Canis lupus familiaris: one gene and its partners. The protein of the gene in region 2 purifies or fractionates together with the protein of the main gene of each other region. This does not show direct contact. Links are inferred from orthologs where the notes say so. Each region holds a gene or a part of one and is shown on either strand. Other genes may lie near its edges.

The links. The genes of interacting proteins can lie anywhere in the genome.
Region 1: the proteins of MIA2 (region 2) and PREB purify together in Homo sapiens (affinity purification with western blotting; 3 studies listed by BioGRID and IntAct, with this or other methods). This does not show direct contact. The link is inferred for Canis lupus familiaris from reciprocal best matches to the Homo sapiens genes MIA2 and PREB.
Region 3: the proteins of MIA2 (region 2) and MIA3 purify together in Homo sapiens (affinity purification with western blotting; 6 studies listed by BioGRID and IntAct, counting the BioPlex papers as one, with this or other methods). This does not show direct contact. The link is inferred for Canis lupus familiaris from reciprocal best matches to the Homo sapiens genes MIA2 and MIA3.

What each region holds. Positions count from the first base shown.
Region 1 is NC_049238.1:21,182,870-21,187,088, reverse strand, and holds the start of PREB (prolactin regulatory element-binding protein), read left to right. Parts: upstream 1-1,410; 5' UTR 1,411-1,668; coding exon 1,669-1,803; exon of another isoform or gene 1,804-2,407; coding exon 2,408-2,600; exon of another isoform or gene 2,601-2,788; coding exon 2,789-3,009; exon of another isoform or gene 3,010-3,196; coding exon 3,197-3,277; exon of another isoform or gene 3,278-3,376; coding exon 3,377-3,501; exon of another isoform or gene 3,502-3,686; coding exon 3,687-3,860; exon of another isoform or gene 3,861-4,003; coding exon 4,004-4,076; exon of another isoform or gene 4,077-4,219.
Region 2 is NC_049229.1:17,648,512-17,651,116, forward strand, and holds the end of MIA2 (melanoma inhibitory activity protein 2), read left to right. Parts: intron 1-220; coding exon 221-455; intron 456-1,526; coding exon 1,527-1,693; 3' UTR 1,694-2,094; downstream 2,095-2,605. UniProt on the Homo sapiens protein: Plays a role in the transport of cargos that are too large to fit into COPII-coated vesicles and require specific mechanisms to be incorporated into membrane-bound carriers and exported from the endoplasmic reticulum.
Region 3 is NC_049259.1:17,574,174-17,578,369, forward strand, and holds the start of MIA3 (transport and Golgi organization protein 1 homolog), read left to right. Parts: upstream 1-1,387; 5' UTR 1,388-1,492; coding exon 1,493-1,628; intron 1,629-3,348; coding exon 3,349-3,482; intron 3,483-4,196.

The sequences.
Region 1 (4,219 bases), on a different chromosome or scaffold from region 2:
ACCCAGGATCGAATCCTACGCCGGGCTCCCGGTGCATGGAGCCTGCTTCTCCCTCTGCCTGTGTCTCTGCCTCTCTCTCTCTCTCTCTCTATGTGTGTGACTATCATAAATAAATAAAAATTAAAAAAAAATATTTAAAAAAACAGCCCACACCAAAGAGCCTTTAAAAACCCCTAGATTTAAACACCAAAATGGCAACCCTCTCGGGTCCCCTCCTTCTTTGGGAGCTCTGTACTATTGCTCAATAAACTTTGCTGCCCACCACTCTTCATTCTTCTAAGCGGTGTGATCAAGAACAGGAAGAAATCCTACAACATAGTGTCCTGCTGAGCAGACACTGGTTCTGTGGGTAGCTGAACCCACAAGAGGCCACAACTAAGCAAGGGGAGGGGGAGAGTCAAAGGGAACAGAGTGGCCAGGACAGTAGGTGCCACATACCTGAGGAGGGTGTGGGATCCATAAGGCCTGAGCACCTGAGCTGTGCCGAGGGCTCTGTGAGGCCCTTCACACAGTTGATTCAGTTTGGTAGGACAGATGATGGCATCCCCAAAGACGAAGCCACTGGGCCCCTTCCTCCCAGCGCACTTTAGGTTAATAAGCATGCTGACTCAGGCAGCCGGGGATGCAGCAGGAGGGGTCTCCTTGAAGGAATGGACATTCCTAGAGTACACTTGCAGAGAAACTTTAAGAGTCTTCATGTTGAAGATCAGAAACCCAAGGGTTTCCCTCAGGAAAGTGGGAATGCCAGGCAGAAAAGACACTTGCCCTGCCTGGGAGCCAAGCTGCCTCCCTCTGAGGGTGTCGGCAGGGAGCAGCCTCCACTCCCAAACCCCTGAGTGCAAGGGCAGTGTGCAGAGCTGCAAGACTGGCCCAGTCTCACATCTGCCAACCACAGACCATAGATGTTTTGCTATGTAAATAGAGGCCTCCTCAAACTAGCAATCAGTGGATTGAGGATTTGAAGCCAGTTTTGAAGTCCACACTGCCTCCATTAAAAGGGAAAAGACACAGTTCATGTTCCTAAATGTTGGATTTCCAAGGTGTGTCGCAGCCCTTAACCAAGGATTCTTTTTTTTTAAGATTTTTATTTTTAAGTCATCCAACCTGAGGCTCAAATCTCTAATCCTGGGCTCAAGAGTGACATGCTCTACCAAATGAGCCAGCCAAGAGCCCCCACGGATTTCTTCACTTAAAGGTTCATCAGCCTCCCTTCGTTGTCATTAGCTCCCTTCCTTCGCCTCCCGCGGAAGGCCCGAGCCCCGCCCCTTGGAGGCGGCGTATGCCGCTCCTCCCCGCGCAAACATGGCGGGGGCTGACGTCACAAGGGGGACGGAATCCTGGGGCGGGCGCTCCAACAGCGGCCCGCTAGTGCTGACGCGTATCGGCGGCCCTGCGCCTGCGCACGGAGAGCGCGGGCTAGGCGCGCGTGCGCACTGCGCGACAGCCCGAACTGGCTGGTTGGGGGGGCGGAGAGACTGATCCCCGAGTGTCGTTTTGGCAAGTCTCTGGGTTGGAGTTTTGGCAACTCCGAGGGGTGTGGGAGAGGAGCTGGGGATCCTCCTGGCGGCCACCGGACCAGGTTAAATAGCGGCCGGGACAGTGGTCGAAAGCCGGGCGCGGCATGTCCCTGGTGCCGCGGTGCTTAGAGTGAAGCGCGTGGCGATCAGGATGGGCCGGCGCCGGGCGCCAGAGCTGTACCGGGCCCCGTTCCCGTTGTACGCGCTTCAGGTCGACCCCAGCACGGGGCTGCTCATTGCTGCAGGAGGAGGAGGCGCTGCCAAGACGGGCATAAAGAATGGCGTGGTGAGAGCTCAGGGTCACGGGGGCCGGGTCACGCCATGGGCGATGGTGGTAGGTGGTCTCGGGGATGGCCGCGCCTCGAGCTTCAGACCTTGCCCCTCCCGGGTGGGAAGGCCCGGGATTTTCCGGCGCCTAGCGCGAATTTCAGCTGAGAACTTACCAGGAACTCCAAAGTTAGACTAAAAACAGTACACAGCGCCGCTTAAGCAGGAACTTAGGGTTCACCTGAACCTCAGGAGCAGCTCCAGGGGCCATCTCCTGATCTTTTCTGGGGAGGCCGCAAAGACTTGTCCCGCTGCTCTCCAGCAGCGGCAAGAGTGCTGCCTTTTGCCTTTAGGCTAGGTTTCCTCACTCCTCTGAGGGTCACTCTGTTATTTTGTAAACTGGAGGTATTAATCCCCACCCTGCCTGCTGTACAAATTTGTGCGGTTTGAAAGAAAAAAAGGGAAAGCAGCAAGCAGGCTGGAAAAAAAACTTTTTAAAGTAGAAAGTGCGGTAACCAAAGGGGTAGGGCGTTAGACTATAGGATGTAAGCTCGCCCTTGGCAAACTTGAGGTGCTCTCCGGGCAGCCCTGAACTTTGTTCATCCTGGTTCCCTCTTCCACAGCACTTTCTACAGCTAGAGCAGATTAATGGGCGCCTTAGTGCCTCCTTGCTACACTCCCATGACACAGAGACACGGGCTACCATGAACTTGGCTCTGGCTGGTAACATCCTTGCTGCAGGGCAGGATGCCCACTGTCAGCTCCTGCGCTTCCAGACCCACCAGCAGAAGGGCAAAACCAAGGTAGAGAAGGCAGGTGAGAAGCTCCCTCATTAGCTTTGGGGAAAGGATTGAATGCATAAGGTCATTTACTTTGGTTTCTAAAAAAGTGGGGCTGGAAGTGGGTTATGGTAGCAGGCAAGAAGCTGGATGTTCACTACTAGGGAAGGGGTCGGTACTACTTACTATAGGAGCCTGGAACCTGGCAGGCTCTTTTTATTGCAGGTTCCAAGGAGCAGGGGCCTCGACAGAGGAAGGGGGCAGCCCCAGTAGAGAAGAAGCCTGGAGCTGAAACCCACCAGGAGGGGATAGAGCTGAGCGTAGAGAATTTGAAAGCCGTGCAGACAGACTTCAGCCCTGATCCGTTTCAGAAAGTTGTATGCTTCAACCACGATAACACACTGCTTGCCACTGGAGGGACAGATGGCTACGTTCGTATCTGGAAGGTGTGGTTTCGGGGATTAGGGAATCAGTGGTTGGTACCAGCAAGGCCAGAATTGTGAGAAACTAAACATGGGTTCTGGGAAACAATGTGAGCAAAGCCTGCACTGAGTGGCAGAAAAAAGGAGGGGTAGGGGATGCTTGCACTCTTACCAGATACCTGGGGTAACCATGGTGATGGTTTGGCTGCAGGTACCCAGCCTAGAGAAAGTTCTGGAGTTCAGAGCCCACGAAGGAGAGATTGAGGACCTGGCTTTGGGGCCTGATGGCAAGGTGAGGAAGTGAGAAGGTGGAGAAAGTAGGGGATTATGCTGCTTGTCCCATAAGTGGATCCCCTAACTGTCCATCCTTGGAATCTTGATTCCTGACTAGTTGGTAACTGTGGGCTGGGACCTTAAGGCCTCCGTGTGGCAGAAGGATCAGCTGGTGACACAGCTGCACTGGCAAGAGAATGGACCCACCTTTTCTAACACGCCTTACCGCTACCAGGCCTGCAGGTGTGAGACCCCAGAGGGTAGCTAAAAGAGGCACAGCCTAGATGTGGTGGGGGAGTGGAAAAAGACTGGGGGGAAGCTGGGAAGGATTGTAGCCTTGGTGGCTTGGCAGGGGATAGGAGGGCACAAACCTCTGGGAAGGGCTGGGCTGGCCCTGGGAACTGAACAGCTTCTCCCCCGGCCCCCAGGTTTGGGCACGTTCCAGACCAACCTACCAGGCTGCGACTCTTCACGGTACAGATTCCCCACAAGCGTCTGCGCCAGCCCCCACCCTGCTACCTCACAGCCTGGGATGGCTCCACCTTCTTGCCCCTTCGCACCAAGTCCTGTGGTCATGAAGTCATCTCCTGCCTTAGTGTCAGGTGTGAGACAGTGGTGGCTTGACCGGTTGCGGGGTGCCTGGGGGAGCTCGGGAAGGTGTCTGGTCTGAGGCTCTGAAGACCACTCTTCGTGAATGTTGCCGCACAGGCCTCCAGAACAGTGAACACTTTATTGTTTGTTGCAGTGAATCAGGCACCTTCCTAGGCCTGGGCACAGTCACCGGCTCTGTTGCCATCTACATAGCTTTCTCTCTCCAGGTAATGGGTAGAGGTGGTCATGGCCCTGAGGGCTCTTTGGGGTGGGGACTGTAGGCCTGCTTCAATCTAAGCAGGAAGGAGACCCAACTCATAGAGGGAAAGCCATCTGAGGATAGGGAGCATGTTTTCCAGAAGGAATGTTT
Region 2 (2,605 bases):
ATATTACTTTGTTTTGGTTAAAGCTGTTTTCTTTTGGGTTAATATTTGTGATGAAAAAAAATCCATCTGACATAGAAAACAGAATCTTTCTCAGGAGACTATGAAGACTGTCACAGACTGCTTTCTGCCTAGGTGCTTTCTTCTAGACCTAAGATTTTCAGGAAGATTATTGCAAATTTTGCTGTTGTTTTAGTGACTACCATATGTCAATTTGTTATAGAATTTAAATGTGCCTGATTCATCTCTCCCTGCTGAAAGTGAAGCAACTGGCCCTGGCTTTGTTCCTCCATCTCTCGCTCCAATCAGGGGTCCATTGTTTCCGATGGATACAAGGGGCCCATTCATGAGAAGAGGTCCTCCTTTTCCTCCGCCTCCTCCAGGAAGCATGTATGGAGCTCCCCGAGATTATTTTCCACCAAGGGATTTCCCTGGCCCACCACATCCTCCATTTGCAAGTATGTTTTTCTTTTAAACTTAATATATGTTTTATAGAGTAAGTCAAAGATAGAATTCTATTTCTTATTCATATTGTACGTTTTTCTAGCTGTGAATATACCATTACTGTTACAAATTGGAAGGCAGCCAGCCATTAGTAGACCATAATATGGCTTCCACATTATTGATTCTAATGATATGGAATTACTTCTGTATTTCAGTAATCGGGAAAATCATTGGCTTTTTGCAGTAGTCTTCCATTAGGACCAAAATTATTTGTATCTTATTTGATTGGAAACTGGTTACTGTATCAGTTAATAAAAATAATTACAGCTTATATTTTAGCATTAAAACTACTGGCTGACGTATTTTTAAAATACTTTTTCATAAGTAGTTCCTATGTAATCCTACTTTTTTAAAACCTGAACTATGTTTATCATGTTTGGACTAATTGTTGAATTTATTGAAATTCTTTCATAGCCTCACATAAGAAAAAAAGAATGATTTTTTTGTTTTCTAGCTATATTTTGCCATTTAGAACTAGATGTTTCTGTAGAATAAATACATGGTTACCAAACACTAGGCAGAAGGCTATTATATGCCTGATGTGGTGTCTCTTCCTTCATTTCTCCTCTATTTTAAAGTTTAAGGTGAATTAAAATGAATTTGGGGGAATTTCAAGGTAGTCTTTGATAAACCTGTAAATGTCTTAGGATAATACCAAATTAGAATTGGGAATTACTGATCTGAATTTTAAGTCTGGTGAAAATTATACTACATGAAAAATTTAGAAAGTAAACCTCATATATTTTGGAATAATTCTCCTTTTTAAAAAGTGTTAAGATGTTAGGTTTTCATAGGATGAAAATTGTGTCTAAAATTAATGATATTCCCTTTAATCATAAGCAGTTGAAGAGAGTATGCTTTTTTTCTATGCTGTAAAAATTCATTTGTTTGATCAAGTAATTATACTGATGTCAGTTTTGGAATATAAAGATAGGTGTACTCTAAGTTATAAACTAATCGTTTGTTAGAACTGCAGTACAGGTACTTAAAGTTAAAAAATGTTTTTTACCAATCTCTTTGAACAGTGAGAAATGTCTATCCACCGAGAGGTTTTCCTCATTATCTTCCCCCAAGAGCTGGATTTTTTCCCCCACCCCCACATCCTGAAAGTAGAAGTGAGTTCCCATCAGGGTTGATACCACCTTCAAATGAACCTACTACTGAACATCCAGAACCACAACAAGAAACTTGACAATATTTTTGATCTCTCTTCGAAAGTAATTTTGACTTCTCTCTCATTTTCAGTTTAAGTAACTGCTGTTACTTAAGTAATTCTACTTTCGCTCAAATTGAAGCTTAATGGAATTATAATTCTCAGGATAGTATTTTGTAAATAAAGATGATTTAAATATGAATCTTACGAGTAAATTATTTCCATTTTATTTTATTGTAGATAGTATAATTATTTTAATTTGATTAACAAATCCACTATCACATAAATAACAATGGGAGTTTTATATATGTAATCTTGCAGTTGGGGATGTTTTAAACTCCGAAGGCTGTGTCTTTTTGCCAAGAGCTGTATCTACTATGGTTGTAGACAAATGTGAAAGTAACTTTATGCATAATTAAATAAATTTTAATTGACTTAAAGACTTGTTTGGTATTGATGATAATAATAAATCAGCTAGTTTTCTGTAAATATGTCTCCATTAGTTAGTTTTTTACTTTTCCCAATAGTTTTGAGGCTCAAAACTAAAGCTTTATCTGGGCTTTTCCCATTCGATTATCTTTCCAAGAGTGTGCCCTCTTTCTTGCAAGTGGAGATGAATGATCAAAAGCAACATTGATTTTATTTATTTATTTATTTATTTATTTATTTATTTATTTATTTGCAACATTGATTTTAAAGAAAACCAGGATATTGTTTAAATGGTAATTTTTCAGTTTCGATCTTTTTTAGTTCATTCGCTAGCTTTTCTGGCTTGCTTTTCTCTTAATTTGCAAGACATTTACTGTTTTTTAGTGGGGACTGTTGAAATTTACTACAGGAATACTGGATTTGGCCTCAATATCTTTAGAATGTTTTCTTCAGCCTAAGCTGTTTCCTCAAGTTTGTATTCTATTATCATTAGTCTTCTTGCACATTAGTATGATTATGAAA
Region 3 (4,196 bases), on a different chromosome or scaffold from region 2:
GCCCGGGGGCGAGGGCGCGCGGGTCGGAGCAGGGGGGCTTGGGTCCGAGGGCGCGCGGGGGTGCGGGTCGGAGGGCGGGGGCAGGGCACGTAGGGCTCGCGGGGGCGCGGGTCGAGGGCGCGCGGGGACGCTGGTGGAGCAGGGGGGCGCGGGTACCGAGGGCGCGCGGGGCCGCGGGTCGGGGGAGGCGCGGGTCGGGGCGCGGGTGGGAGCGCGCCCCCCTTCCCTCCCCTGTCCCCTTCCCTCCCCTCTCCCCTCCCCTCTCTCCTCCCCTCTCCCCTCCCCTCTCCCCTCCCCTCTCCCCTCCCCTCTCCCCTCCCCGGAGCCCCCGGGCCGCCGCCGAGGCGGTGCTGACGTGTCTGCGGGGCCCGCCGCGCCCTCCCGCGCCCCGCCCCGCCGCGCCCCGCCCCCGGCCCCGCCCGCCGCGCCCGCCCGGCCTCGCCTCCGCCTCCGCCTCCGCCTCCGCCTCGGCCTCGGCGCCGCCGGCTCCCCGCGGTGACCACAACATGGCTGCGGCGCCGGGGCTGCTCCTCTGGCTGCTGCTGCTCGGGCCGCCGTGGCGGGTGCGGGGCCAGGCGCGGGCGGACGCGAGCCGGCGCTTCGCGGAGCACAAAGTGTGCGCGGACGAGGAGTGCAGCAGTGAGCGGCGGGCGGGGGGGGGGGCGCGGGCGCGGGGGGCGCAGGCCGGCCGGGCCGGGATGGGCGCCGCGGGCCCTGCCGGGGGCTGCGCCTCCACTTGTTGCGGGGGCTTCCCTCCCTCCGCTGGCCCGGCGGGGCGGGGGCGGGGGCGGCGGCCCGGCCCCGAGGGGAGACCGGGCGGTTGGGGTGCGCGCCGCGCGCTGGGCTCCGCGGGGCGGTGGGTCGGGCGCAGCCTGCGGGCCGCGGGGCGCTCGGGGAGGGCGCGGGCGCGGGCGCTGCCCCCTCTGCCCTCCCGCTGCCCTCGGTTGGGGGCTCGCAGCGCCTTTGGACGGGGTCGGAGCTTGGGTCTGGGACGAGCCGGGAGCCCGAGGTCCCCGCCTCGCTCCTGTCGGTCTGTGCCGGGAGGGCTCCTGGCGGCCGCCGGGCGGGGAGGGCCCCTCAGGAGGCCCAAAGCTGAGGCTCTCGGAAGAGGCCGAGAACCCGCAGAGGCCACCTGGGCCCGGCAGCCTCCTCCGCTTGGCGCAGGAAGCGGAATCGCGCCCCGGCCCTAGACCGCGGGTGGGGGATGGACCGAGGGCGGTGAGCGGGACAGACGGCTCCGGAGCCCCACGGACCGGATTCGGGGAGCGACCGCGAGGGGCACTCGGGGGGCCCCTGAGCCCCGCCGGCCTTGGCCTTGGTGCCTCGCGGTGCTGGGACCCCTGCCTCTGTGTCTGCGGGACCGGGATCGGTCTTAGGGCCCCGCGGAGGGTCTTGAGTGACCTTGTACCTTGACGGTGAGCGCGCGGGAGCGTTCCTAAGTGGCCGCCGGTGCACCTCGCAGACTGCTCCTGCGGGAGAGGCCCTACAGCCTATGGAGTTTGGCTTATTCATATTCAAATTGGTGCTATTCGAGAACAGATTTCATAGTTGGAAGAGTTTGTATCCCGGCAACACGCCGTGCACGGGAAGCGAGGAGGCATCTGATCCGTGTGAAGCCATTCCTAGAGGTAACCTAGGGCAAAGACGCACGACCAAAGTGGAGCGTCTTCCACGCCTTTTCCCCCTCGGGCTTCTCTGAGCAAATCCCGATTTTTAGCAGGCAGGGTTGAGACATGTTTGCTCTTCTTTGCCTTCAAGCGCTCCCCTCCTTGGGTTCCTCAAAGGAGGAACCAGTTACCTGGAGGATCCCATCCTTGATGCTTCCCCAGTACCGGTACCGAGACATGGTCCTGAGAAGGCCCTTGCTTGTCACAGGAGTTGGGGAAGGAGAAGTGTCCAAACAGATAAAACCCAAACCCGACAGGCGGCAGCCCAGCAGGGCCCGGGACTGTGCTTTTGCATAAAGTATCCAGTGAGGGGTATGTGTGTGGGTGTGAGCTGTCCTTGTGTGCTTTTCAGAGAGTTGTTCCAACAGCGGGCAGTGTTGTCATCTAATTTATTGTTACAGTTTTTCAGTGATCTCTTCTAAGGGGGAAACAAAAGCAGCATTGCCATTTCCAGTTCTGATAGCATCCCGGGTCTTAAATTGTCCATCATCTTCAACCTGGCCTTTTCCCCAATTACATCTGAATTAGGATGCTGACATGTATTAAAGTCATCTGATTTTAGCTTGAAAAATCCAAAAAACTGTCCGCCAGTCTGTCTGTTCATCCCTCAAATATGTACCTGAAATACATTTTAATGTACTTATGGCTGACTGGCTTTAAGAAGAAATGTACTTTCAATGTCACCCTTATTTTCTCTCTTATTTAATTGTATCTATTGTCCGTTTCATGTTATATCAGAAACTGTGTGTTTGGCCAACAGAGAAATGCTGCTTCCCCTAGTTTCTAGATCAAGTGTGATATAAGTCCTGCATTTTAAGACTGAAGGTAACTACTGAACAATTCTCCTAGTTTTGCTTGTCCCTGCAACACGTGATGCCCACATGTGATTTTGTGTATAAACATAAAAAAAGGGGATCTTTCCTTCGTTTTGAAACCTTCATAGTGTTGGGGACAGTGAACATTATCTGCTTTCATAATAATTTCACATTACCCTGTCGTATGATTGGATAATCATATGTGATTATCACTATTCATCACTAATAGGATGTGATGTCCTTTCCCGTTAATTTATCCAGATAACTATACAGGGAAGAAGGCCACAGCGTGGCCTCAAATGAAGTTGACAGTGTTTACTGCTGCATGGTAGCAGTTATAGCCACTTAAAGATAGTGCCTTTTAGTGTTAGTTGAAGTTAATTGACCCCTTGGGGGTTCCTGGGTGCTCTCCCCAGTTCCCTGTTGCCTCTTCATGCGGCCATGCTTAAGCCAGCCAGCATCTGCTCTTGAATTTATCCAATTGCACCGTGAACCTTTTTATGATTATGGAACAGCAGAGATTGTGGACAAGAAGGTTAGAGAGAGAACCAAGAGTTTCTCCTGAGACCAGCTCCAGCTACGTGTAGTGGTGGACTCATTGCTTTTGGTTTATCCATAGAGAAATACAGGCAAAGTGGCCATCTCCCCTGTCTACTTGTAGGGGACAATATATAATGATAAAGCTCTAAAGATTTTAGATACTTGGAGCATATGAATCGAAAGCGATTGATTCCAGAGAGTACTGGAGAAACTTGGTTGTTGTTTATAGAGTAGAGGAAACCCTCCTCTTTCCTGAAAAATCAATATGGACTGTGAAAGTAGAATCCTGATACCTGTTTTTCTCCCCCCTCCTTCTTTACCTGCAGTGTTAATGTACCGAGGTGAGGCTCTAGAAGATTTTATAGGCCCAGATTGTCGTTTCGTGAGTTTTAAAAAAGGTGATGCTGTGTATGTCTACTATAAACTGGCAGGGAGACCGCCTGAAGTTTGGGCCGGAAGTGTAAGTACAAATTTGACACACTTTATCTTCTTATTTGTATTGGCTTGTTTAGTGCTGTAGGTGGAACTGTTTTCCTGGGTTCTTTGATGGCGACATCTTCCTGTGTCCCCAGCAGGCATCAGGCCTGGAACCAGGTAGAGGCTCTGCTCGGTTCCTTAAACAAAACAGAATGGCTCGGGGTTGATTCTTCTCAGTATTAAGTTCAGGCCTTACCAGCCGTGTATGCTCCATACATAGGAAAGGTGGTAGTGGCAAAACCTGAAAATCCTGGACTTTGTTGCTTCACAACAGAAGGGCTCGTGAGCATTCGAGGTCCTCCTCTCAACTTTGTGCAGGACAACGTTTCAAGTGTTCACGTGTAAAGTTCATTGTATATGTATTTTTTTCTAAACTATTAATATTTGTGAAAGGTTGGCAGCTCTGCAAACAGTTACCTAATCATAGGTACTGTTATTAGTCTGTTAAAAAAGCAAAATGTCCTTTTCACTGTGTGTTTTTTTGTTTCCTTGTTTGGGTTGTAACTTCTGGGTCATCCTTTTCCTGCTCTCAGGCCCTTGCTCCTGGAGACTCCCTGAGCTGCTCTCTTTCAGTTTTATGGGTGGCCTGATGGTGGACATGGAAACTGATGATCCTCAGGCTCTGATTTTTTATTTTTTAAAGATTTTATTTATTTGACAGAGAGAGAAAGAGAGAGCATAAGCAGAGGCAGCTGCA